Styela clava: one gene and its partner. The protein of the gene in region 1 purifies or fractionates together with the protein of each later gene. This does not show direct contact. Links are inferred from orthologs where the notes say so. Each region holds a gene or a part of one and is shown on either strand. Other genes may lie near its edges.

Region 1 (7,382 bases):
ATTCTGAAGCACATTGTTTAATTTGTCATATTTCCGTCAATACAATCAAAAAACACAATAAGCTCAGCAGTCAATATGACAAATTCGAAGACCAACTTCGAACAGAAAATTTCCATGTGTTTGTATATTAATATAATTATACAACGACTTAGTTACTAAAAATCAATATCAATAATAATTCAAGCAATCCTATGCCACGCAATGTAGTGCGAAATGTCTTGTCGAAAAAATCTGTCATTTGTTTTTTTACTGATCTATACATGAAATGATAAAAGTAACTTTTCTGCATTACTGGAATTAATTGAACATTCGTAAAGATCCAGATAAAGCCATGATCATGTGGCCTCGTTAGTTAGAGTTGGTACTATAAAATCATTTCAGACTGGCCTTAGTATGCTGGTGACACAAAAAAGATGCCAAACGCCAGGACAAATGTAATTATTAAAACATTGAGTTTATACTGTAGTATTTTTGTTAATTTTAGGTTCATATATTTAAATTAAGTTATTTTTAGTGTATGTATTATTCTTTCCCTATTCAAAGCTTGTTCAAAAATGATTTTGATGGTTGTACATAGAATTTTACGATTTTTTATAATAAATACTGTAACTTGCAAATGTTGCAATAATAGTGGAATGCAAAGATTAATATGTAATTGCATTTGAAATTGAAGAAAATAATAAAACTTAATATAACTGTTTAGTTGCATCACAATATATGTCACAAACTAAAACTATCTTAAAAATATCTTTTAAGTATACATTATCAAAAACTGTTTGCGGCTCTTTTTACAATTTTCAAAATGCAATGCGGCTCTCGAAAACCCATGAGTTTGACACCACTGATCTATTCTAGACGATTCAAGCATTGCTTTGGGAAATTATATCACTTCAATTAAATTGAAATAATCTCGCTATATAAAATACAAAATCGTTGCTATCGTAAAGGTAAACCAATTCAGCCACTCGAAATATATTGGCCTTCACAAAGCAATGGAGGCAAAATTGAGAGTTCATGAGCTATGAACATTTGTTCTTTTCTTCGTCTTGAACTTTCCATACTCCGCAGCCCCTATTAATTTTTTTTTAATTTTAATTACCATGTGATGGTCATACATATCTTTAACTTGTATTTTCTGTCATGATGTATTATCTCAATGTGCCAAACTATTAATTAGTGTGCATATTTTGCTTCCAGATGACATAAATGTATTGTCATGTTTATTACCTCAGCTTGGAGTATTGACAAGAAAAAGGTGCCAGTAAATTAGGTAAAAAAATTTTCAACTCATTGTTATAATCAGAATTCACAATCAATAGAAATTATAAACAGCCAACAATCAGTGAGAATTATATGCGAAATCCCTCAGAGTAAATTTGTCTAAAATCGGAGGAAGGCAAAAAATATAGGTAGTTTCCATCCACACAAGCATTTCAAGAAGACTTGCTCGAGCCAAACTAAATGAGCATCGTCAGGTGATCGGTAAGGCTGCAAGTTGAATTCAGCCCTGCAACCTCCTGCATAGAAGATAATATTAATTAGTGGGCTATGAGCTAAATTCCTAAATTTAAACAAACCTATCTACGATGCATTATGTACCAGCAATGTTACCTACGATTAACTGAATATGTAATATGTCTAATAAATTCACCTACAAAAGCAAGTTCGATAGGTGCAAACTTTGTGTTATGGAATTGTATCGCAGCACAGTTTTGTATGACACCCTCTTTAAATGAAATTTCAATGATTAAGCGCAAACATTAAAATTACCAACTTTGAACTTTGTCATTATCTGCAAAATGTTCCACACAAATCTTTCCGCTATCGCGTTTGTAATCTTCTCTGATAAAAAAACGTCTATGATGTCCAGAATTGCTCTTTACAGCTTGCCTGTTACTCCAGCTTTCCAAGTAAGCAAAACTTCTTAGATATAGAGATTATTTTGTTTCGTTACAGGCGCAAAAAGGCAGGTACTACACGTAAAAACGACGCCGAGTAGCAAAAGCGAGCGAGAAAACGGACGCGAAAGGCGACGAGAAATATGTGCATTGGAGCGTATCATGAAATACAATGTTTTGCCTGTAGTCTTATGGAGTGACGTCAGAGTTGCCTATCATGTTGTTTAATGTCATTGAGTGGACTTATGACTCGTTGCGCTAAATTCTTCATATTGATGTTGTAGTGAAAAAAAATCGTTTTCTATGCAAATAATATTCTGATAAATTTCGGAACTTCAGTAGGCTACCAAATCAGGTATTTCGCCCAAAATTTTGCTATTTCCATCCACATGGAAAGACTTTGTTATAAAATGTTGTTTCCTTTCTTGTGCCACACTTGCCCGTCGATATTTTCTGAGGAACCATGACCACCATCTTTGAAAAAAAAAATTTTCAATTTTTTTTAATACAATTTTGCGGAATTTGCAGCTATTTGCGATTGTTCGCAGGCGGAAATTAATGCGGCCCACACGCTACCGCAAATGTGTATATTTGCCCCGCAGGTACATAATGTTTGCCGACCACTGCTCTATGCCAATCATGCGCCATCCCATCTTAACGTCAGACAGCTTTTCAAAAAACAGAAAGTGAGGAAAATTATCTGAACAAACTGAATTTTGCCAAGCTGCCCAACGAACAAGACGTAGTCTGACCAAAATTACAGAAATGTATTCTGAATGTTAACTGCTTTTGTATGTTTATTCGGTGTCCAGCTTTATTACCCTCGCGAAATTTTATAAAGATGTGGTAATTGTACTTTTTGCATACTTGAAAAAGATTGAAAAGGTACCGATTCACTTACCTTGGCTTTACCTTACCTTTTTATTTAAATGTGGTATGTTTTATTACCTCAAGTCCAGTTTTTGTTAGCGTAATCATTACGTCATTGTTGTGTAATTACACACTGAAATATTGAACAGTTAGTTCATCGTCATCGAAATGTTTTAAACCTGCGACTGATCTTGATAAAACACCTAACTTCTAGAACGATATTTATGTAGCTAAGATTTTGAGCCTAAAAAATCAGACCATTCCAGCATTTTGACTGTTGGAATTTATATGGACAGACAATAGTTATCTAAAAACGAATCTAGAGTTAAAACTTAGTCGTGTTTTGAAAGTCCGAGTGCTTCGCCGTTCCCCCCGATAAACATAAAAGCTAATTCAACGTTCGGGAGAGCACAGTTTTTCTCTGCTCCGAATTTTTGACAACCCCATAAACTAATATATACTAATTGCTGAGTAACACAATAAATGTATACACAAAAATGGAATTGGTCCGAACACAAATGCTGCAGAAAACTACGGTTGACCGTGTTTTTATAGCGTCTTTCAGAGTGGGGGCAGGATCAGTCGATAAATTTAAACGAGAGTCTAAAGTAAAAAGAGAAGATATACAGTTCATAAAATATCGAAATCGTAAAACTGCAAATTAAAACACAAAAAATGGCCAACGATTTTCCTGCTACCAAAAAATTTGGTTTGGTTAATTTTTCTCAGCGTAGCGTAGTCAAAATGACTTCCACGCTAAAAATTCTTTCTCCGATAAAATGCATAACGGCAAGTAAATGCAAAGTTATTTTGATGTAAAAGATAGATTTTCTATATTCTTGCATTTTAATATATATGGGAATTCAAAGTTTCCAAATAGATTTAAAGAAATGGGTAAACGAAAGTGTCATTGTACAACTCATATGCATTTTCTAAATATTTTGACTTGAGAAAATACCAAGAGTGCAAAAACATGATCTATATTAACATTTGTTTACATTTTATTGCGCCTCTTAATCATAATTGAAGTTTTAAATTGAGCCATGAAACAAGTTTGACAATCCCATCAATATACAAACCGGTCATGTTATAAAGTATTGCAGATTGAACAACATACATGTGATCATTTAGAATTAGTCCTTTCTGGGCAGAAGTTTCACTAGTGCAACATCCGGTAAATCACCCCAGGAAATCGGAGTGTCGAAAATTTTTAATAATTCATCATATATGACCTAAAAGTATTGCTTTCACCAAATATCAGATTTTTCCCACTGCCAAAAGATAAAGGGGCCCGGAGAGGGTTAAACACGAAGTATTCTCCATTTTTACTATGTTTGTGAATTTTTCTTTTTTCATTGCCAATATTATTTCATTCTCTTTTATAACTGACGAAGAATATAAAAAATACTATTTGAATTTTGGCCTTCTTTTACCAATTTAACATTTTCTTGTATAAAATCGGCCAGCAAGCAAAACTCCGACAAGTGCTGAAATCTCGCCCGTATGCTAAAGAACTACTAGCGCCACCACACGTCAGAAAAGCACAATAGTTTTTAAACCTGTAACCACAGAAGGTCCTCTTTGTTGGAATTTATAGATTTGGCTATGCAGTGCTGATACACGTAATAGTGTAATACTGTTATAGCTGTACATATAGTGTGCGTCTAAGAGCTTGTCTCTAGCAGTTTGAGAAATTTGACGGGAAGTAAAGCACTGAAGAATGGAAGCGTTAATTCCAGTTATCAACAAACTTCAAGATATTTTTAACACCATTGGCTCAGATTCAATACAATTGCCTCAAATAGTTGTGGTTGGATCCCAGGTAACTTGAATGATTTTTTATGAACGAGTCGGAATTGCACTTCATTCAGTCATTAGATAACCGGACCAAAAAATAGCATTTCACATGTTTACCGGTCATAGCCTACCTCCCAGGTCAGGCTTGGGCAAGTTCTGAAGTTGCTGCCCAAGTGATTTAGTAACGATGTACCTGTGTACCAGCTGCTTTCTGCAGTCAACTTTGTGAAAATGGTCAGCTCTTTTTCCAGATGATCACTGATCAATAGAGTTTTTGAAGCATGAATTTTTCTTGTATAATCTTGATAAGTTGCTCTTTGAATCTGTGAGTCGTGTGCTAACACAGCGGGATATCGTTAAACTAGTCAGCTCTTTGCTTTCCAGTATTTTGAATATAGTGAAAACGTTTGCCATTGAACCTCATATTGAAAAACTTGTAAAAACGCAGCAAAGAATACACTCATTTCATTAAAAGTAACATTTGTAATATGTCTTGTTTTATTTGAATGTGTAATAAAATACATTGAAGCGTGCAATGTAGGTTGGCTTCACTTAGTCTGGCACATTACCACATTTTGAATTTGCAATGTGACCCCATGGCAAAAATAATTGCCCATCGTTACCCCAAATGCATGCCAAACGTTAGCAGGTAAGTGATTCATATGCGAACTAAAATAATGCATATGGTTCGAAAGTCCTCTTGAATCTCTGAGTACTTTGTTGGGAAGCCCAAGTAATTGACTCGACCTGAGTCACTCTTTATCAAAGCCTCAAAGTGACTCAAGTCATCAAAATTAAATATCTCATACTCAACCAACTGTCACTGAGACTCGATACAGTGATTGAATAGACGAATAGACTTGGTACTCGGGTGACTCAAGACTCAAGTTGAGGGTCTTTTACCCAGCATTTGTTTACCCACCATTTTTAATAATGCAAAATTGGCATCGCACTTGTAAGCTTACCATTTGAACAGAATGTCATCTATGATTGTTTTGAAAGTGTCATATATCTTAGTGCCCAAAATGGATTAAATTATTCATCATCAATATTGTGTAACACATTTCAGAGTAGTGGAAAGAGTTCAGTTCTTGAGAATCTGGTTGGTCGAGATTTTTTACCAAGAGGAACTGGTATAGTTACAAGAAGACCTCTCGTGTTACAACTCGTGCACTTAGATAATGGAAAAAATAAAACGGAAGAAAATGATGACAATTCAGAAGAAGGTAAATAAAACAGTAAATCAGGTTCTGGTTTTCTACCAATCCTTCCTCCAAATGAGCCATATTTTAATTTTAGATTCTGATAAAGAAAATGAAAAACCAGGTTTGGAAAACCATGTAAATGGCTCATCTTCAAAGTTCAACCATGGCCATGAAGAGTGGGGAAAATTTTTGCATACAAAAGACAAAATGTATACAGACTTTGATGAAATTCGAACGGAAATCGAAAACGAAACTGAACGGATGGGTGGAACAAATAAAGCTATTTGCAGTGATCCAATTAATTTGAAAATTTTCAGTCCTCGTGTTCTGAATTTAACTCTGGTCGATCTCCCGGGAATCACGAAGGTTTTTTTTTTATTTTCTGTTAAAGATACATAAAAAACTCTAAAACATTGTTTTTTTGCTGAAAGATTCTGTATTTTTAGATGTTAAATACAAATATCAAGTAACAAGGAAAATTTAATTATGTATCAAATTTGTTGTTCAAGTAATACTAGTAGTTTAGTAGTTTCTAGTTTCATTAATCGAATGCAAATGTTTCAAAAATTGGTATCCAATACAAATGAAAAAATATGATAAATTCTTAATTTTAGGAGCAGCTTATACTATTTAGAAATTGTATTTTGAAAATTTTCTCTCAATGCTTTTGACACTGAAATCAGACAGAAAATTGAATTTTAAAATCATAATTTGTTCCCACAAAAGTTGATATTTTTTGAAAACTATAGGAGACAGGGTTCATTTATGGGCCAAGCTAGAAAAAATTGGATTGTAAAAGAAATAGCTCCATTATGCAAATCCCATTCGATCATTAAACATTGTATCAACGTAACCAATCATTGTAAACCTAATAAGTAACATTTATTGGTAATTTTGTATTTCATTAATCAATTTTGGTTTGGTAGTAATATACCGTAAGTTAATTTTGATACACATATTCAATGCATAATCATCTCTACTTCCTGTATCAGATTCCAGTTGGTGACCAACCTGAAGACATTGAAGCACAAGTGAGAGAATTGATATTACAATACATTTCAAATCCAAATTCAATAATTCTTGCTGTTTCTCCAGCAAACACGGATATAGCAACTTCAGAAGCCATAAAGGTATGTTTCAACAAATTTACCAGCAGTGATGTGAAATATGGGAAAATTTACACCCGAATCCATCTTTATCCTATATGAAGAAACGACTTCAGCTCCAGATTAAAGGAAATTTTTACTCGGACTCTTCAATTTCGGTCATACAGTAGCTACGGTACTCACATATCAGGATCTGCTGGCACAGAGCCATGTTTAGAGTGAAAAAACCTTGTATAGAAATAAGAAACTTCTACCTAGTTTGCCATGTATACTCATTACAATTTTGATATTATCGAATCTAGATGGCTCTTGAAGTTGATCCAGCAGGAAGAAGAACTCTTGCAGTTGTCACAAAACTAGATATAATGGATGCTGGTACTGATGCTATTGATGTTCTATGTGGAAGGGTCATCCCTGTCAAATTAGGAATTATAGGCAAGTGCAAAGCATGAGTATTTAGCTTAAAGATGGAAAAACATTATTAGATTATCATTTTACAATTTTTA
Region 2 (6,954 bases), about 6.3 Mb from region 1:
TTGTCATCGTTAATATGTACTTGATGTCTTTTGAGGTTTGTAAACATGTAGGCCTGAGGAATGAAGGCAAAAGGTTATCGTTTCTTTCTTATCTCTGTTGGGTTTTTCTTTAAAATGCTAAAAAATTACTCATGTTTAATAAAATCGGTTCAGCAAATGAATAAACCGCAGCCTACAAAATTGCAGAATGTATTGTAGGGTTTACCTCTTATAACAATATACCCTACGGAACAGAAAGTAAACAACGTAGAACGGTAAAATGAATTTGATTCATATACACATCATTTGCAACAATAAGAAACAATAAAACATTTAGAATTATTATAATATGTGATATGTTTCGGGGCGCACTCAGCAAATCGCCTTCGGAAACCGCTAACGTAACGATTAAAGCCGTCATTGTTATGCAAGCACACACAAATCGGGTCTTACGGTCAGAATATGCATTGTCATGAAAGCGCGATGATTCTACCGTGTTTCCCCGAGGATAAGATCAAGCCTGAATTTTAAAAAGAATTATATATAATATGAGCGCTCGCCTTTAAAAAAGACTTAGTCGATAGCGCATCTTTTTGTTTAGTTAATCCCGTGGAAGTGCGTCGTTTCAATTTTGCTGGGACGTCGCAAAATTTCGTGATTCTTGAACCTTCCAATCAACCCATATCTTCTACTTTTACTGAAAAAAAGTAGATTAAATCGATCTTACCTGTGATGGTGCTATAATAAAAAAGTTTAATTCTGAAAGTTCGGTTTTCCGTAGATAAAAATTATTTTTCCTTGGTTCAAAAAGCGATGCGCACGCCCACCTGCTTTGCGATTTCGTTTTTATATAAAGCAGACTTTTCTACCAAGGCGCATTAAATGCGATTTCACTGACTGTCGTTAAGTTTTATTTGTCCGTTCATATAAAACTCATTGCAAAAAAAGTCTTTTATTAAAATGTATCAATACGTATTTTCTAGGGATGGGACGAGTCCGCCATTACAGAGATTCGACGAATCCGAGTAATAGACTGAAGACTCGAATCGAATCCTCCGAGTCCGTGACGTCACAATGTAAAAGCAGAAAAACACGTTTTTGACCAAGCTACAGCATCGTGCGCCCACATACATACGTCGTAGCTCATTTGCCTAATGGTTCTGCAGATAGCTGTTGAATCATTTTAAAAATATATTTTCTTTCTTTTTTGGCGGCCATAATACGAACGTAAACGTGGGCTTTTGTGCGCCTTGGCTGTGAACTGGATTTCCAGCCCACCACCTTGTGTCATTTCCGGGCGGCTATTCAGACATTTTTATATGTCAATATGAAAAATAAAAAGCTTTTGACTACAATGCTTTCCTATAATTCCAGATATTTCTAGCCGTAAATTTACTATGTCACGTGCGCAAATGGTAGAGAAATGCCTCGTCGTCAATACAATGTCTTCTACATCTTCTTGCAATTTAGTAGTTCATGTAAACGTTTTGAAACTCCCCACGCTTTCCATCGCTCCCGTTTTAGAGAAAGGATTGCACGTAATAAACTCGATTTAAAAGAGGTATTGATGAGATTCCCCACTGGGTTGATCGGGAGCATGTTTCATTTTTACGCGAATCAAAAACTCAAAAATATTTCGCTAACACATATTTTATTGTGTCACATGTATACCGAAAAGGATAGATAGTTTGAAAGCGACTGGCGCAACATTATTATTATCAGCGATCAATAGTTTTTAACCTACGGTATATTATCTGGATATCTGTCGTGGTCTTTATAAGGAGTGTTTATATTATAATACACACGAGGGATATTGTTACAGATCTAACCTTGAATTTTACCTAGTTAAGGTATGTAGTGAGATTTATAGAGGCAAAAGTACAAATATAGGCGTAAATTAGTAAAAACAGAATTGCGGTAAAAATGACGTGGACTTGAAATCGAATCCGAGTCTATAAAATGTGTGGATTCCACTCGAATCTGAGTCCGGATCCGAATCCCGGGCCATCCCTAGTATTTTCACGAGGAGTCGCAACTTGAGCATATTTTGGAAGGCGTCACAATACAATGAAGATCGAGAACCACTGAGTCCTAGTCGATAGCAAAAAATATTTTCTACTTTTTAAATGATTAATAATCTGTATTTAGCAGTTATTTTGAATAAAGACGTGCTATTTATAAGTAAATGAAAATCGGTATTCATATTTTGTATAATAAAAAATCTCGGTATTCTCTATCCCAAAAATAAGCCCTAGTGTTATTTTCGAAAGAAAATTGAAGACAGTATCTTATTTTGGGGGAAACACGGTATTATGATGATGTATTCACTCGGAATCGTGAAATGTTTGTTTTACACTATTTTCAATAATTGTATTTCGAATCAAGAGTCTGAAAAAGTACAATAGATTTATATTGTATTTCGTGTAAAATTGGTGTTCTCTTTGCGGCCCCTAAAATTCGTTTCGGAGCCCCTTTCAGGGCCGCGGCCCCTTGTTTGGGAAGCCCTGATCTAGACCTTGTGGATTGGTCCACTTCATGTCGAACAAGAGAACAATGTTCAAATATATGGTCACGAATATCAATAAATGTTTCCCCGAGCATCGTTTTCCCTGTTTATTGCCGTAACAATGACCAATCAGCAATAGGCCAACAACATCGTAACAACAGGAATTTATGCGGCCGCTCAGACCATTCTTTGGCTCAGACAGATATTCAGGCAGAGTTGTAAGTATTGCCTCGTTTTCGTGTATTTGCGTGTTATTTGTCAGTGTTTACGTGTGTTCCCCCAAAAATAGTTGTAAATCAAACAACTTAATGGTTGCTATCATGCCTTCCGACGACATTTAGTTTAGTTGCATAAATTTATAAGGACCAGTTTGTAGGCGCTAACCCCCAAAACACTCTTAAAATGAGCGTTTGGAATTTTGCAATAGTAAAGTATAAGGAGAGTTTTTCAGGGGTCAAAGGTCGGGGAAACGTCCATCACTAATATGGCTGCCAAATGTAAGAACGGTGCCGAATATCACATGAGCTTGTGCCCGGGAATTATAAAAAACTGTAAAATTTGGCCCGTAGGGTGATAGAAAAACTATGATATCCTTCTAGTCACTTCTTCCATCTTTAGGTACAGGATATTTGACATTCATTGATCTTGGTTTGTGTAACTCCTCGTAAAAAGAAATATTTTTTTGCCATTCCCATACCCGACAGTGACTGGCAATAGGCAATCGTCAAATATGTAAAACCTATCTTATAAGAGTTTCTAACAAGTTGCCATTCCCAGTTGGTCTTGTTGTTTTTCATTTTTTCTGGCATTCGTTTTTCCATGGTGGATTATATAATTTTAATTTTCTAAATCATCAAAATTTTGCAAAAAATTAAATTTTTTCTTCACGTAGTTAAGGTGAATTTAAATTTGCCATTATCTTCAATATCCTCAAATTGAAATATAGATTCTTCTGGTAAAATTTTCCGATCAGTTTACCTTCCGTGAAGATAGATTCTTAAATATGTCTGTCATCAAAAAATTCATCTTGCACATGAGTATGAAAAAAATACGATTGCACCAACTGTGCAATTTTAAAATAAAAAACAGTTTTATACATTATTTTATTCCCATTTTTTTTAACAAACGGTGAGATACCAATCGATTGTTCTTTGCTATTCAGTCTATTCTAACTGATTAGCGAATAATTTTTGCATCAAAATACTTGTATGCATATTCAAAAGCGTTATCAATATTTTCAGTTTATTAAAATGAGCCAATGCATTATCCGAATTTTTTATTATACAATTCAATTTCTAAAATTTGGTCTTGCCATAAACCGCCAATATTACCTGGCAACGCTATTTGTGGGCGTGTTTTAGTGGGAACGAGGAATTTCGGAGCCGAGCACGTTTTGAAGCGGAAACTTCTTTCACGAGGCGGCGTTTTACGTTTCTTCGATTTTCGGTACAAAAGCTGTTGAATATTGGCGATTTAGAGTCAGCAAAACCTCTTTAAAATGCCTGCAATACAGGATATCTATAGTGTAAACGTCAGTAATCGGTACGATATAGGTTCCGAACCTGACGATGAAAGCGACACGGCGGCGGATTATGATCCGTTAGACACCTTGAAAACGCTGGAAGATCAGAAAAAGAGCGCGTTAGAGGAAGCTAAAAAGAAAAAGCAGGCTTTGGCAAACAGGCCAAAAAACCAAAAAAAGCCAACGCGATTCCAAGAGAACAAGGATTCTAATGTCCCACCTAAAAAAGACGCAGGGGCACCAAAATCTGCAAAGCCAGGACGTCAAAATGACCGTAGCGATGGTCCCAGGCAAAATAGCGCTCGGCGACCTCGTAATGAAAGACAAAATTACGGGGAAGGTGATGAAAATAGGAGACCACCACGAAGAAGAAATGATCATCCACGGGAGAACAGAGAAAACAATGAAAATCAAAAAACAGAAGGCTTTGATCAAGCTAAAGGGGAGAAGTTGAGAAACCCTGGCACTGGAGATTATGGCCCAAGAAGAGATCGTGCGGAAAGGTACCGCGGAGGTCGTGGTGGAAATGGAGGTCGTGGTGGATATCAAGGCAGGAACTTTGGTGGATATCGAAATGACGGACGTGATGATCGCGGAAAACGTGAATTCGACCGACGTAGCGGAAGTGATCGATCAAGTGTGAAACCAAGCGATAAGCGTGACGGCGCTGGCCCACGAAATTGGGGAACCCCTGGAAACGAAATCGAGGAAACTGTGGAAGTTACCGCTGTAACTGAACCAGTCGGAACATGGCAAGAAAATGCTGAAACTGAAGGAACTGAATCACCAAAAAAGACTGAAGAGGAGGGAACAACCGAGGAAGGCGCAGAAGATAAAGAACCGAAAGAAGAAGAACCAACGGAAATGACACTCGATGAATGGAAAGCCCAACAGGAACAAGGCACTCAAGCAAAACCATCCTTTAATATTCGAAGACCCGGAGAAGGAGAGAGCCAAGAAAAATGGAAAGGCATGAAAGTGTTGCGCAAAGTCAACAAAGACGATTCGAAACGAGAAACCAATCCTGATGACCAGCATAAACGACAAACCAAACCACAAGTAAGCGTTAATATCCAATTCGGAGACAACAGAAATCAAGGGTTTGGAGGTCGAGGACGCGGAGGTAGAGGAGGAGGGCGTGGACGTGGGCGTGGCGGTCGTTTTGGAGGGGAACGAATGCAGAGGCAAGGTCATCAACTACTTCCTGATGTTCAAAACGAACAAGAGTTCCCGACCTTGGGTTAAAGGTCATCGTCAAGACCTTTCAAATCTGTGAATATTATGTGTGTGAGAATGAACTGTTGAACATCGTTTTAATATTAAACGGGGCTTCTATTTCAAAATAAACTTGATCATCGGTAAACGCAAGAACGCCGTTTAAGGACAATTTTTTTATGTGGTTTATTTGTTACGTTTTATGGCAAAATTCAAAATTTTACTCGAAAAAAAATAGTGACGTCATAGTTCAAAAAATTGCATGCTGAGTTTAGCTTTTTATTCCATTAAATTTCATTTGCGAATGTTTAATTATAAAGTGGGAACAACAAAAGTGATTCCTATTGTTTTTTTTCTGAAATTCACAAAGTCAATATCATGTTTGCTCCTTTTGTTGTTTGGCAGAAATGTAAGTTAGAGTAATAATTCAAACCTGAATTTGTCTCTCCCAATATCATTTATTGGATTTGAAACATCTTGGAGTTAAAAATTCAATAATTTAACTTGAATAATTCTGAAATTACCCTTTCTGTGCTAGCATAAAGTTGTTAATGTGTGTGCCGGACGACTGGCACATGATGCAAGTAAGACCACTGTGCAGCATATGGGTAAAACCTCCGAACACGATTGTGGGCAAACCGCTGTATGAGTTCAGCTGGAACCCCTGGTTTCAGAATTCTATACAATTTGTTTGAAGGCTTTTGCTTTATCTGTCACATGACAATGAGAATTGCTTTTGTTTTCCCACTTTTTGATATAATATTTGCTCATTTTAGTTGACTGTAGTGGAATAAAGTATCTCCATTTTACGCTACCTTTGTACTTTTTTGATGAATATGTTGTCTGCTTGCGTCAAATTTTTTTTTACACATATCAGAAATTACAATCCGAAATTTTCGAAATGAATACTTTTCGTTTCAGTTGCTAGTTTGCGATATAAAATTGAATGACTTGCTGCACCTTGTTTGTATGCTAATGTGTTAGCCTCTGAAAAAAATTATGTAAAATTCCTCTTCAAATAACTTTGAAAGTGATGGGCAAAATGCAGCATCTTGTGTGGCACCATTCGGATGCCATAACACATGCAACATAAGAAGCCTCTGTAAGAAATTGTTAAATTTTGGTTCAAGTGTGATGGTCAACACTGCGTAAGACGGCATTTTGTGTGGCATTATCAAAATGAGACGCCTTGAGAGTAAAGAAACCATGTATGCAAAGCTTATTGGTTTCACTAAGGAATGTACGTAATCATGGCTTGTCATAAACAGTCGTTTATATTTTATTTGAAAATGAAGCGGGTTTGTGGGTTCACTTTATGACAGATTTACTTTGCTTCAGAAAAAATCCAAGTTCACCAAAATCATGAATAAAACATTTGAATAACCTTCAAAATAAAATATTGATGCCTAAATGTCTGTCCTTGTGTGCGAATAGGGTGAAAAGAATTCTGTTTTCTGGTTCTCAAATATTTTGAGGAATAGTTATTTGTTGGTAACTTTGCTTTTTGGTTTTGTCACCAATGATACAACATCCCTAACCCTTTTCTGTTTACGTTTGTTAAGAACTCAAATTATCATCAAATATGTTCATTGTTTTACGTTGTTTTAAAGAAAAATTGGCGAAATGTTAGATTTTCATCTTTTAAAGTACAAACTCAATGTAATGTATGGCTTCGCTTGCGTTTGCTGTGTTTTGCATTGTTTTCTTCTGGCTGTATCTGTTTACGAAATAA

Evidence for each region. The genes of interacting proteins can lie anywhere in the genome.
Region 2: the proteins of dynamin-1-like protein (region 1) and intracellular hyaluronan-binding protein 4-like purify together in Homo sapiens (affinity purification with mass spectrometry; 3 studies listed by BioGRID and IntAct, with this or other methods). This does not show direct contact. The link is inferred for Styela clava from reciprocal best matches to the Homo sapiens genes DNM1L and SERBP1.

What each region holds. Positions count from the first base shown.
Region 1 is NC_135258.1:11,927,103-11,934,484, reverse strand, and holds the start of dynamin-1-like protein, read left to right. Parts: upstream 1-4,316; 5' UTR 4,317-4,488; coding exon 4,489-4,590; intron 4,591-5,634; coding exon 5,635-5,791; intron 5,792-5,864; coding exon 5,865-6,136; intron 6,137-6,762; coding exon 6,763-6,900; intron 6,901-7,178; coding exon 7,179-7,311; intron 7,312-7,382. UniProt on the Homo sapiens protein: Functions in mitochondrial and peroxisomal division.
Region 2 is NC_135258.1:5,591,062-5,598,015, forward strand, and holds the start of intracellular hyaluronan-binding protein 4-like, read left to right. Parts: upstream 1-3,854; 5' UTR 3,855-3,983; coding exon 3,984-5,252; 3' UTR 5,253-6,954. UniProt on the Homo sapiens protein: Ribosome-binding protein that promotes ribosome hibernation, a process during which ribosomes are stabilized in an inactive state and preserved from proteasomal degradation.